Nothobranchius furzeri: one gene and its partners. The protein of the gene in region 3 interacts with the protein of the main gene of each other region in a biochemical or structural test. Links are inferred from orthologs where the notes say so. Each region holds a gene or a part of one and is shown on either strand. Other genes may lie near its edges.

What was found.
Region 1: the proteins of ep300a (region 3) and nap1l1 form a complex in vitro, tested with the Homo sapiens proteins (3 studies listed by BioGRID and IntAct). The link is inferred for Nothobranchius furzeri from reciprocal best matches to the Homo sapiens genes EP300 and NAP1L1.
Region 2: the proteins of ep300a (region 3) and nfyba form a complex in vitro, tested with the Homo sapiens proteins (2 studies listed by BioGRID, with this or other methods). The link is inferred for Nothobranchius furzeri from reciprocal best matches to the Homo sapiens genes EP300 and NFYB.

Annotation. Positions count from the first base shown.
Region 1 is NC_091741.1:58,518,003-58,522,273, reverse strand, and holds the start of nap1l1 (nucleosome assembly protein 1-like 1), read right to left. Parts: upstream 2,809-4,271; 5' UTR 2,673-2,808; intron 1-2,672. UniProt on the Homo sapiens protein: Histone chaperone that plays a role in the nuclear import of H2A-H2B and nucleosome assembly.
Region 2 is NC_091741.1:63,172,648-63,176,941, forward strand, and holds the start of nfyba (nuclear transcription factor Y, beta a), read left to right. Parts: upstream 1-1,486; 5' UTR 1,487-1,489; coding exon 1,490-1,624; intron 1,625-1,633; exon of another isoform or gene 1,634-1,907; intron 1,908-2,730; coding exon 2,731-2,824; intron 2,825-2,906; coding exon 2,907-3,037; intron 3,038-3,361; coding exon 3,362-3,559; intron 3,560-4,099; coding exon 4,100-4,178; intron 4,179-4,271; coding exon 4,272-4,294. UniProt on the Homo sapiens protein: Component of the sequence-specific heterotrimeric transcription factor (NF-Y) which specifically recognizes a 5'-CCAAT-3' box motif found in the promoters of its target genes.
Region 3 is NC_091756.1:27,988,464-27,992,546, reverse strand, and holds the start of ep300a (histone acetyltransferase p300), read left to right. Parts: upstream 1-1,279; 5' UTR 1,280-1,417; coding exon 1,418-1,505; intron 1,506-3,507; coding exon 3,508-4,083. UniProt on the Homo sapiens protein: Functions as a histone acetyltransferase and regulates transcription via chromatin remodeling. Acetylates all four core histones in nucleosomes. Histone acetylation gives an epigenetic tag for transcriptional activation.

The DNA.
Region 1 (4,271 bases), on a different chromosome or scaffold from region 3:
TCAACCCAAACGGACTCGTTCTCTCCTTTGTCCATCTGAGAAAAATGTGCTGTTCAACACTATTTGTTTCTTTTCACCGGGGAACAAAAGAAGGAAAACATACCAAGGACACACCAAACATGACCTTAAATTTACTTTTTACTCTTTGACTGAAACAGGAGTTTAACTTCATAACAACGACAAAACAGGACCCTGACCAGCACTAAAGCAAACATGTGGACCTTAGCCACAGAGACTTGTTTGAGTCTCTGTGGCTGATACACAGATGTATCAAACCATTCATATGTATGACATAAGTAAATTTCCTTTGTACAACTCAAAACATGAGTGAATACCAGAGGCCTTCTTTACATATGAAAATATTCCAATGCCCAATCAAAACATGTGCAGCACAGCAAGTTACTAGTGCCATTAAGTTACTTAATGCTGATATGGAGGAGCAGCAGATCTACTCTGAGCCCTTCCAGGGTGACCAACCTTCCTATCTTTAATAGCTCATTTCCATTAAAGGCCAACAAATATATTCAATTTTTCTATATCGGCCAAAATTATTTTAAAAAGCTGATAAAAATAAATAAACCTGTGTGGCCAACTGCCGCCACTACTAGACTGAAGAAAGGATCCGAAGGACCACAACACATTGGTTTTTTTTATGTTTTGTGTTTGTTTTATACTTGAAGTTCAATAAATATTAAGAGATTTATTGACTTATGTAATTTATATTGCACACAGTGAGTGTTCAGTTTTCTTTCACAATCAATGTGCTGCTAAAATGTATATATCAGCCTTAATAATCGGCTTTAGATATCGGCCATTGGCAACGAAATTCTTTAGAAATCGGCATTGGTCTGGGGGGAAAAAACCCCATTGGCAGGCCTCTAAATCCAATTTTCTATTTACTGTCCAGCCAAAATTTCTATCAACCATTTTCTCTTATTTGGAGGTACCAATTTTCATCCCTGCTACTTCACATCGGGCTTAAGACCATTCCAGCAAAAGCTGGAGATCATTGCCTGATGAAGCAAACAGGCCCACATCCTCTGCAGAAAGCCGAGACTTTATCCTTAGGCCACCAAAACAAATCCCCTCAACACCTTAGCCATGTCTAGAAATCAGTGACAAAGGCAGACATGGGGATCCCATACAACCTAAAATCTACATCTGTATCTGGAACAGACGCCAACATATTGAATCACATCTCCACGACTTAATGTAGTGGCACTTTGACTTGTGTGTGTGCAACCAGGACTGAAAACCACCAGAAGGGTTTGCGTTAAGGTTTTTTAAGCTGACTTGAACTAACATCAAGTATAGGAGAGTAAAATGAACTCAACCAGTTTCAATTAAATGTCTAGTGAACTGGACTTGACCTTGTTAAATCTCCAGATGATATGCGCCTCACTGCTATGTTCATTTAAACCTTTAAACATCTAATTAGAACTAAAACATTTAAATAACTCAAAGACTTTATAAAATGCGTTTCATAGACTAACTCGAGTCATTTGGAAGCACTCTGTACTTGTAGCCATCCTTTTGAACATAACTGTATTAGAAATTAGAATTTAAACTCAATGAAAGGATATTCAGATTTTAAATAACTATTGATTACAAATTAACGTTTTCAGAATAAGTGCTAATCTGAGCCTCCACTCTAAAATCTGAAATACAAAAATAAACTTATTTTAATATCAAGTGTATTTTATGATTCCACAGCCCAACAACAATGGACTCGTCTTTAATCCAAAGGTTAACACAGGCAGTGCGGTTCACACACGTTTACCATCACGGACCAACAGACCGTCCAAATCATTCTTTTGTTTAGGTCTTTTCGTCTCCATCCACCGACCACGTGTTGCATGCTGAAGTCTACCAAACCATCACACATTTTCAAGTCCCGCTATGTCGCTTCTTGTTTTGAAGCCACATTCTGGAACTACATCAACCCGAGTTAAAACGCCAACCTGCTTGAACAGCAAAGGAGCGCTTTGTCGCTACAAACGCAGGCCGAGCCCCTGGCTCATCACCGGGGAAACTTTAGCCGGCCTGTCCGCTGCTGAATGCTTCAACACTTCCTGCTAGTTAAGCTAGCAGGTCGCTTAGCTTGATGCGCACTGCCCGAGCTGAGCCAGTGGGAGGAACAGGACCACACAATACCGTCCACTTAGAAATCGGTGCCACCTCTTCGGTAACACGTTTTCTCCCTTATGCAACACAAATGTCCATCGGCCTTGACCAGTCCGTTCCCCACTCCAAGCATCAGCTTCACAGAAAAAAACGAGGTCAAGTCAATAAATGCAAAAATGACGAAACACGTGTCAACAAAATGTCGCAAACAATCGACAGTTGCGGGAAACGTCTGAGGTGCTATACTTTAACGACTTCATTATTCGGGAAAGAAAACTACTAAAGACACACGAAGATGGCCGCTGTTTTACCATTTTTAAAGCGCGTGTAACGTTAACACCTAACAGTCAATGGTTAACACATCATGGAGGAGCAAGTCTCAATGGCTGCTGCTGTTGCCGCTATCTGGTTCGCTAGCATTAGCAGAGCACCGCCGTCTTCCCTTCTCAGCCGGTTTGTTTACGCTACAGCATTAAACCCGAACTTCGTCGCTCACGGGAGAGTTCGGGGCGTCGGTGTCCGAACCACTACCAGCTGCCGTCCCTTACCTTCGCTCTGAGACCGGAGACTGGACTAGACGAGGGACACTACGCAGTGAAGAAAAGAGACTCCGCTCCGATGGCGGTAAAAGGGAGAGAGATCCCGCCGCCTGCGCTCATATACATCCGACGTCATCACGTAAACGGGCGGTCACCGAGGCAACGCTCATGGGAGGGGCGCGAGATTTTCCTCCTTGGTGGGTGAACAAACGTTAAAAAACCATCATGATCACGCTACTCTTCATCACTCTATCCATTTATGATCTCCATGTTTTTCAGTTATTACCCGAGCTTGAGCACGTTCTTTAAAAAGTTATATTTTCATTATAAAATTAGGATTATCTTCTCAGCATCTTGTCAGCATCTTGCCTGTTTGGGGTAGGCTTGTGCCATCCCCCCCTCCCTTAAATATATTAATTATCATACTGTTTTACATTGCCGTCGTCTTCCTCTGCTTATCCGGGTCCAGGTCGCGGGGGCAGCATCCCAACTAGGGTGCTCCGTCCAGACCGTCCTCTCCCCGGCCTTCTCCACCAGCTCTTCCGGCAGGACCCCAAGGCGTTCTCGGACAAGATTGGAGATGTAACCTCTCCAACGTGTCCTGGGTCGACCCGGGGGCCTCCTGCCGGCAGGATATGCCCGAAACACCTCCCCGGGGAGGCGTCCAGGAGGCATCCTGACCAGATGCCCAAACCACCTCAACTGGCTCCTTTCGATCCGGAGGAGCAGCGGTTCTACTCCGAGTCCCTCCAGAATGTCCGAGCTCCTCACCCCATCTCTAAGGCTGAGCCCGGCTACCCTACGGAGGAAACTAATTTCGGCCGCTTGTATCCGCCCATGGGGCCCGGCCAGGCCCAGCCCGAACCGGATACATGGGCTCATCCAACTGTGGACCCACCACCCGCAGGAGGAACATGAAGGGTCCGGTGCAATGTGGATCGGGTGGCAGACCAAGGCGGGAACCTTGGCGGTCCGATCCCCGGACAAGAAACTGTTTTACATTATTCATTTATACATGCATATAAAAGAGTGCTTTTTAATCATCAGGTAAACCACACATTACCATTTTATTTGTTGAACACTTTTAACACAGTATTACAACTGATCAATCACAATAAAATTGACAGTACCGTTAAAATCAAAGGAATAAAAACCAAACAGGTAATTAGAACCATAAAATCCAGAAAATGTAAAATTAAGCAACGAAGATGCAAGGAGGAAAAACCTGTAGACAAAATACCAGAACCGGGTTTAAAAGTTAAAAGCCAAGGAGAAATAGTGCATTTTAAGATGAGATTTGAAAGCAGTGATGGAACCTAACTTAGAGAGCTTTCCAGAGTTTCGGTGGTCACAGAGAATGCCCTTTCACTGCAGGTCTTGAAATGTGCCTCAGGAACAGTGAGGAGGAGCTGATCCACGGAGCTGAGAAGTAAATCCTTAACAACTAGAAGCAAGACTATGAATTTAAATGATAAAAGTCTAGTTATTATCATTATTTAGTTAAAATTAAGTACTGGCTGTTAAGTCTGTTTAGTTTTGGTAAAACATTTCAGCCCACAATTTCACACCAATCCCTTCCTACAACTCAAAGAGCTAAGCCTCTCTTAT
Region 2 (4,294 bases), on a different chromosome or scaffold from region 3:
GTGTGTGTTGTTCAGCCTTTATCAAAATGAATTAAATTACCAGGATGTGTATCATTCCTTCTTCCTTTTCTAGTTTTCCGGTATTCCTCTAATTTGACCCAGAAGTGAGGCTGAAAAATAAATGGCAAAACTGCAGTAAAATGTTCAGGGCCCAGAAACCCATTCATTTACACACACACACACACACACACACACACACACACACACACACACACACACACACACACACACACACACACACACACACACACAAATGCTAAAGTGAAAGGACAACTGGCTGAGTACAGATGCAATAGGCAACAAAGAAGATGGAAATGTCATCAAAAGGAGCCAAATGCACCAGGATCAGCAGCAGCAGCCCGGGCATCACTACACGGCACCAAGAGGAGGCACAAGAAGCACCCAGGCAGACCGCCTCTCCCGGGGCAGTTGGCCCTCACAGAGGAAACACTGATAAAACCTAAAGAGATTAAGATAACAAATCAAATATCAAATTTAGCATGAACACTGGATTAATTAAATTCTAATTAAAACACACTGATAAAAGATAACCAAGTAGAAAGCAACAATAAAATATGTAAACATTATGTAATATATAAGGGCACCTCGCCTTGGGAGTGTGTCCTGACTTTGGGTATAACAAGGAGACGGCTGCCAGAGGAGAGCAGGGGCCGCGAAGGCTCGTATTTCAGAAGAAGTTCTGAGAAATAAGAAGGCCCAAGACCATTAAGACATTTAAAAAACATTAAAAGAACCTTCAAATCGATCCTGAAACGTATGGGAAGCTAATGCAGACGGGTTTAACGTGCTCCTGCATCTTGGTCTTCTCCTTGGACACGTGCTGCTGAATTTTGAAGAAATTGTAAACCTGAGGTGCTCTTTTCGGGAAAACCAGAATTCAGCATAGCCACAATGCAAAAGCAATCAAAACGTTCAATATATGCTCCTCATTTTGGTTTATATAAATCATATCTCAGCTAGTTGTTTGTGTTATAAACCCCTGATAATATGTGAGCAAATTTCATGTTCTTTTGATGTTCTTTAAAATGTTTGTGATGTTCTGAATGCAAATATTTGTTAAAAAAATACAACAACAATTACATTTCATAAAATAAAATAAAAACATTAACGATTCTGTTGGGGGACACAGTTTGGAGGCTTTTACGATGAATAACTTAAATTTAAATGAGACTAGAGAGAGCATGACTAGTTATGTAAAAAAATGACATATTTTGACGTTTGGACAGTTGCATTTCAGTGTCACTAAGAAAGTGGGAATGTATGCAACAACAGTTGATTGGTAGGGGGGGAATTAAAATGAACGATATGATCCCACTTGTGTTATTTTTAACATTTGGAAAGTCTACTACCACCACAAAAATAATCCTCCTCACAACTCATAGGTTTGACACTGTTGTTACCTTAAAATGTACGAGCCTTTAAACCAGCTTTCAGTTCTGTGATCCTAAGGTTTCCGGGAGGTCCTGGAATGCAGCACGTCCCTCTCCTGGTCATTTGTGGTAATGCGGCCGCGGCTCCGCGCTGGGACTGGTCCTTTCGCAGCCATTTTCTGTCCAACCAAACAGCCGTCTCAGGGAGGGAACCAACCAGGGCTTCATTGCAGGTTTGTGTTTGGCTCCGGCCAATGATTGCTAACCGATTCCTCGTTAGCTCGAATGGAAATATCCGTCTCTGACTGATTTTTTTTTTCATTTGTTGTCTGAGTGAATGAAGGCTGCTCATCAGGAAGAATGCACTTTTAAAATTTGTGTAAACATTTCGGCCCGGCTACGTCTTGCTCTGCTTGTGCACGACAAAAGAGCAGGCCGTTGCAGGATTGTGCTGCAGTGGATTTACGATGAGAATTAATGCGAAGGGCATTATGCCTCTAAGGTTATCTCCAAAAGGTAAAGTCCCTCCAGGACAGTCTCTGCTCATCATGCTGAAATTATTGGCTTTCTACATAATTTCAAATCCACTAAGCTAGTTATTGGTTAACATTAGCTAGCGTTAGCTAAATGTCCCACATACCCCCAGCTGACGTCTGCTCTGTAGCCACACAGTGACCAAACACATCATATCACCACAGTTAAACATTTTACATGTCACTAAAATCATCTACTTGCTGTTTAACAGACGACATGACCCAATTCAGCTAGCCAGCGACCACAATGTCGAGGCTGCTTGAGGGTTTTTCTGAATATAGCGGCAATTTCCGCTAGTAGCATGAATGAAGGGGTTTATATTTACGTAAGTTTGAGGTTTAAATTTGATTAAACATTTATTTTAACAATACTGGGGAGTATGATATTTTTTAAAGCGGAACTAATAAAACCGCTTAAATTCAGCGGCGGACACATTTTCAGTTGCGCCAAATGAGCTGCAGGAAAACAGACCAGCAGGTTCAGTCTCCGTGTGTGTTTGATCAAAGTTTTACTAAAAATACAAAGAGATGGTTTTGTAATTTGTATTTTGAAAGTCCTTACTGTCAGCCTTCTCAGGACATGACGTCAGCGCTGAGCACAAAACGTGCCAATGTTTGTCAAAACCAGTCTATGATTATTAAGCAACTAACAGTCTATGTTTAAGTGGCTTTGATCTGCCAACTTACATCAATCACTTCCTGCAGCTGAAACAGGAAATATTCATGGCTGGCTTCAAGATGTTGGCATCTGGAGCCTTTTTCTAATAAGTTTCATTTTAGGCAAAACCTAAGTATGTGTGTTACAGATGGATGGAGACAGTGCAACCACCGATGCCTCTCAGTTGGGCATCACTGGAGAATACATGGCTTCCAGTCACTATGTTCTCCAGTCTCAGGATGGTTAGTAGGACAAGGACCAGTTTAAAATCACCATCATTTCTTTTCCCTGGGTTTTAAGACTAAATTTGTGTCTGTTTTGTAGATGATGGAGAGGAGAATTTAAATGATCACGAAGATGGCGGCATAAAGGAGAACTACAGGGAGCAGGACATCTACCTTCCTATCGCCAACGTAGCTCGCATCATGAAGAATGCTGTTCCGCAGACCGGGAAGGTTTGTAAGAGAGGAGAGGAGGAATCATCAGGAAAAGGCTCTTATTGACAGAATCTGATTTGTTTTTCACCAAATTCTTTTTTTAAACAAAGTACTAAAGTTTTCATGTTTTAATATAGAATCTGATTTCAATATCCTATTGCAGAAATCATAGGTCCACTGTTATTTTTATATGAATGAAACCATTTAGCCTCCATCCATCATTCTGGGACTGATGCTAAGTAATTAACTGGGGACTTAATGCTTCTTGAGGGCTTCACTTCACTTTAGGAGTTAAAGTTCATACATTTAAATTTATTTTAATCTTTTTTTTACTCCTAACAGATTGCAAAAGATGCCAAAGAGTGTGTGCAGGAGTGTGTGAGTGAGTTCATCAGTTTCATCACATCTGAAGCGAGCGAGCGCTGCCACCAGGAGAAGAGGAAGACCATCAATGGGGAGGATATCCTATTTGCCATGTCGACACTGGGCTTTGACATGTATGTGGATCCACTAAAGCTCTACCTGCAGAAGTTCAGAGAGGTGACAACACAATCTCTATACACACTGCTGTATGAAATAAAAACTATTTTGTATGTAGTTTTACTTTTGTTGCACAGAAACAAATAATTTTCTAAGAATAAGAGCAGGTCTTATAATTTAAGGCATGGTTTTGGTCCAGAAGTGTTCAGAGTACTTATGACTCTTTGACCTTTCTTCACAAAGTTTTAAATATCATATAAAATAAAATGACTGTGTCGTTTTGGTCATATCCTTAAAATAACATCAGCTTTGTTATAACAACATTTAGCTCAGTGTCTGTAGAGCTGAGTCGTTGTTTGCTAATGGTGGTCAGGTGCATCTTACATTGTCTTCTTAAGATAATCAGATTTAGGTCTGATGTTGATTATTATTATTAAAATCCATCCTACAGCTCAGCTGATGTCTTTCTGACACATAAAAGTACAGAGAAAAATGTTCATCTGATTCCACTACCAATTGTTGGATTAATAAATTGAGGTGGATTTCAGTCCACTCGTCTCTGTACCCAGTCACGTTTCCATGCTTTTGTTCTCCTCTCAGGCCATGAAGGGAGAAAAGGGCATCCCAGGGGTGTCAGTGGGGGAAAGCCTGGGTGAGGACCTCACAGAGGACAGCTTCAGTAAGTGATGCAGATGAAACTTCTGGCAAACATTTTTAAATTCCTCATCGTGTTTGTCCTTGAATTGCTCCAACATTTCTTCCTTTTCTCCAGCAAACCCACTTCCTGCTGGGATC
Region 3 (4,083 bases):
AATGCCAACGCCATGTCCACATCCGGGTTAACGCCCACTTATATGCAACTGAATGAGTGACGTTGACAATCCACCTGCTCACAGCCATTTACACTCTGGAGTTATGCACAGGATGAGGAACCTTGCAAATGTGGAAATTCTCACAAATCAAGAGCCTTAGTTTGGGAGTTTTCCCCTGTGAGTGAGCAGGAGTGTTGACTATCTACAGCTTCAATGCTTGTTCCTGGACTTTAATGTGAGTTGTTTGATGACTGGTCAAAGAGATCAGGATATATATATATATATATTAAATAAAGGAATTAAGGGTGTTTTCACTGGAGTACACAAATCAATGCATGGTATAGAGTTACCGAGTTATACAGTCTTTGAAAACAGACAGAAGTTTAGAGGACATGCATTGACCATGGAAATGTAGAGCTGCCAGGGCAATGGAGAGCTGTCTTATGCTTATTATAAAGCCATTGTGCCATTTTATTTTTTGTTAATCCTTTAAAGTGCGGAAATAATTTTTCACAAAATAAATCATTTGATATAATCAATGTTTAAACCTATGGTTGAAAAACAAGGCAAGGGTAATGTTTTTACTTGTGGGGATAAATAATTTTAGGGGTTGTGTAAAATGTCTGAACCATCTGGTTAGAACTTTTCCAGAAGGACCAGGCATGGATTTCTGTATTTGTATTGTCACATTTGTTCGCAAAGTGTCTAGATCTAATAAAACAAAACTAACCAACAAAACTCTGATAAATCAGACAACCTGTGCCAAAGTTGTTTGACAAAATGCAAATTTAGTCTTTCCAGTTTTAACTCAACAAGGAGGTGATGCAAGCTTGGGTTGTTGGAAAATAAATTATGTTTTACTATTATTAAAACACTTTGTGATTACAGATGCAGATTTAACTGATGTATATATTTTTATTTACATCCTCTCCTCCACACCCGCTTCCACCACCAGCAGCACCACCACCGTCACTTCGCAGCCTTTTCTGCTCGACACTATCTTCATCCTAACTCCGTTGGAAAGGAGGCTGAAATGACGGATGCAGCCATGGAGGCGACACCCGGGGACAGCGCATTTGCATCGGAAGAGGCGCTTTGAGTTTACGGAGCGAAGCCGATGCGTGTGTCTCCCTCGTCTTTACCTTCGCCGATCCCTTCCTCCTGCTCCTCCGCTGGCAGAAATTTATAAAGAACAAAAAATCCGACGAGGGAGGGAGGGGGTTGATGTACGCCGAGGCTGAAATCGAGAGGCGAACCCAGGGAAAGAGGAGCAATTTCTACTCGGGACTTTCCCCCTCTTAGTACCCCAAAAGGAGGGGGAAAAGTCGCAATATTAGAAACGAAAAGGAATGAGCTTCTAGGGGCGTGAAAACGTCTGCAATTGTGGAGACTTTATATATTTTTATTTCGAAAAAATATGGCCGAGAACGTTCTGGACTCTGGCCCGCCTTCAGCAAAGAGGCCTAAACTCTCCTCTCCGGCACTTTCTGCCTCCGCTAGCGATGGTAAGTTTTGGTTTATTTTATCATTTGTAACGGAAATATTCGTTAACATTATCCTTTTTTAGTGACTTGTTTGCATAACAGAGGCCAAAGACCCGGGTTTGTTCTTCTGTTTTTGTCGTGGCTTGCTAATTTTAGCGTGTGTGTGTCGGACGTGAGGAAGGGATGTTAGCTCACATGCTAACAGCCATTTTAGCCGGTGTTGTGCCGAAATGAGCTCCCCTGCCGCGAAACGCACCACCATTAAGGGAAGTTGACTTGTTTTCAATTTTAACAAGTTAAAAGTGACAAATTTATATATGGTTTTCAGTTCATTTGACGACTAGATAAAAGAAAGATGTAGCTTAATGATGCAGTTTGTGTGCTTTTAAGTTAAATTGATGTTAGGATTCGCCTCTTTCTGACCAGGAAGGAATTTCAGCCACTAAATTTACACTATCTTCGAAACTTGCAAAAATACCGATACTTATAGAAACATTTTGCTACTCTCCACGGGATGGGTTAATTGCCATACTGAAACATTGACTAACACACATCCATATATCAAAATACGACCCGTAAATAATTTAATTGAGCAACATACTAAATTGATTGTTTCTTTTGACTTTCTTCTTCAGACTTCCACTTAAGTAATTAATCAAACTACCATCAAATGCGTTTGCCTACAACGATGTGCCATTTTTAGCACAACACCTGAGATAGCTGCTAGCCACAAGGCTAACCGAGTCCACAACTGTCCGTTCCTAATGACCACTTTATTCGGACTGATTGTGAGCTCAGTGTTCATGTGCCTTATTCTGAAGTCTTTGTTGTCTTATAGTTATATCACACTGTTAGTCATTTTCTAACAAAGCCGCGAATTGTGAGATTTCTAGGCTAGCGTCGTCTTAGAGGATCTTGTTTTCCAAACTAACTCGTTGATAATGTTAGCGAAAACAGAGGGTACTAATAAACATTTAGGCTAGTCTATCTTCAGGCCCAGTGTTTTAAGTCGTTATTGAACTTATTTTTCTCGATATAGTATAGTTTAAAAAAGTAATAGTAGTTAATGGCGTAATGTATTGGCTATTACGGCCTAAGAAGAAAAACCGGAGCGTGGATAGCGTCGTGCCATAACAGACATTAGCCAGGGAGTCACGTTGACTAGATTCTCTGTCACATAAAATGTAATCATTTGTTGTCATCTTTACGATGATCGGCTTCGTCTTTGGTTGTCTAGCACTAATCTGTCATTGAATCGATGAAGAAATACTCCAGACGTCACACACGTTTTGTTACGTTGCATGATGTTTTGAGAGCGCTGCAGTGCTTTATAAGAAAAATCCTCCTCGTGTTGGGATGCCATTTATTCTTCCAAAGATTGTTGTTTTCTAAGCGTTAGGAGTGACGTTGACACAAGCTATTTAAACTTAAGTACAAATCTGAAAAGCATGCATCTAGCTGAATACAGACTCATGGTTTTTATTCTATCACTTGGTGATTCTAGCTGTGTCATAGTTAGAATAAGTGGTTAAAATGTGAGATGGGATTCAGTGAAGCATCAGCAAACAGTGAAAAGCAGCTAAATGTCCAAAACCTCTAAATAAGTCTTTCAGTCCATCTATTATGACCAAAACATTAATTTGAGTCACATGACTGTTTCTGCTGATCATTGATGTTATGGATGTTTTGATTACACTTGTGCACATTTTGTTTAACTTGATTTGATCAACTATTTTAATATTATTAATAATTTGTAGAAGTACGGGATGCTTTCACCTCTCCATTCCCCCATCAGGTTAAGCTGTGTGTAGTTGTTGTACCAGGCCACTAGCTTTGAAAGTCACTTCTAGTTTTGAGCTTGGTTGTTAAACTTGTCATCATGGGTGGGTTTTTTTCCATTACCTATTGTTGACAGTTGTGTACCCCTTCCTGGAGTATATCAGCTCAATATGGAATTGACTCTTTGGAAGTTTTGTCCTTCAGTTCAAATGATCTTCTTAAACTTTGTATTTATTCTTTTCAGATTTTGGTTCACTATTTGATTTGGAGCACGACCTCCCAGATGAGCTCATCAGCTCTAATGAACCAGGTCTGGTCAATGGTGGGGACCTCAACCAGTTGCACACCAGTTTGGGAGGAGGACCTGCAGGCTTGGGTGCAGGAGGTGGAAGTGGAGCAGTAGGAGGAATGGGGCTTGGACTTGGTCCTGGAGGGGGCCCCACAAGTATTGGTGGAGGCCAAGATGCAGTGGCTAAGCACAAACAACTGTCTGAGCTTTTACGAACGGGGCCAACCACATCTGGTCAACAGGGGCATCAAGGAGCCATGGGCAGCCCAGGAGGCCCCACAGCCATGGGGCAACATTTGGTGAACATGAAGGCCCCCTCAGGTCAAGGGCCCCAGCAGATGATGGGACAACAGCATCTTTCTCCTCAGCAGCAGGCCAACATGATGCAGCAACAACAGAGTGGAATGATGGCTAACAGGGGCATGATTGGTGTGCCGCAGAAAGGCAATAACGGACAGCAGCAGCCAGGGATGATTGGAAACCAGGTGATGAATGGTTCCCCCAGGATGGGCTTCGGTAATCAGGGGATGG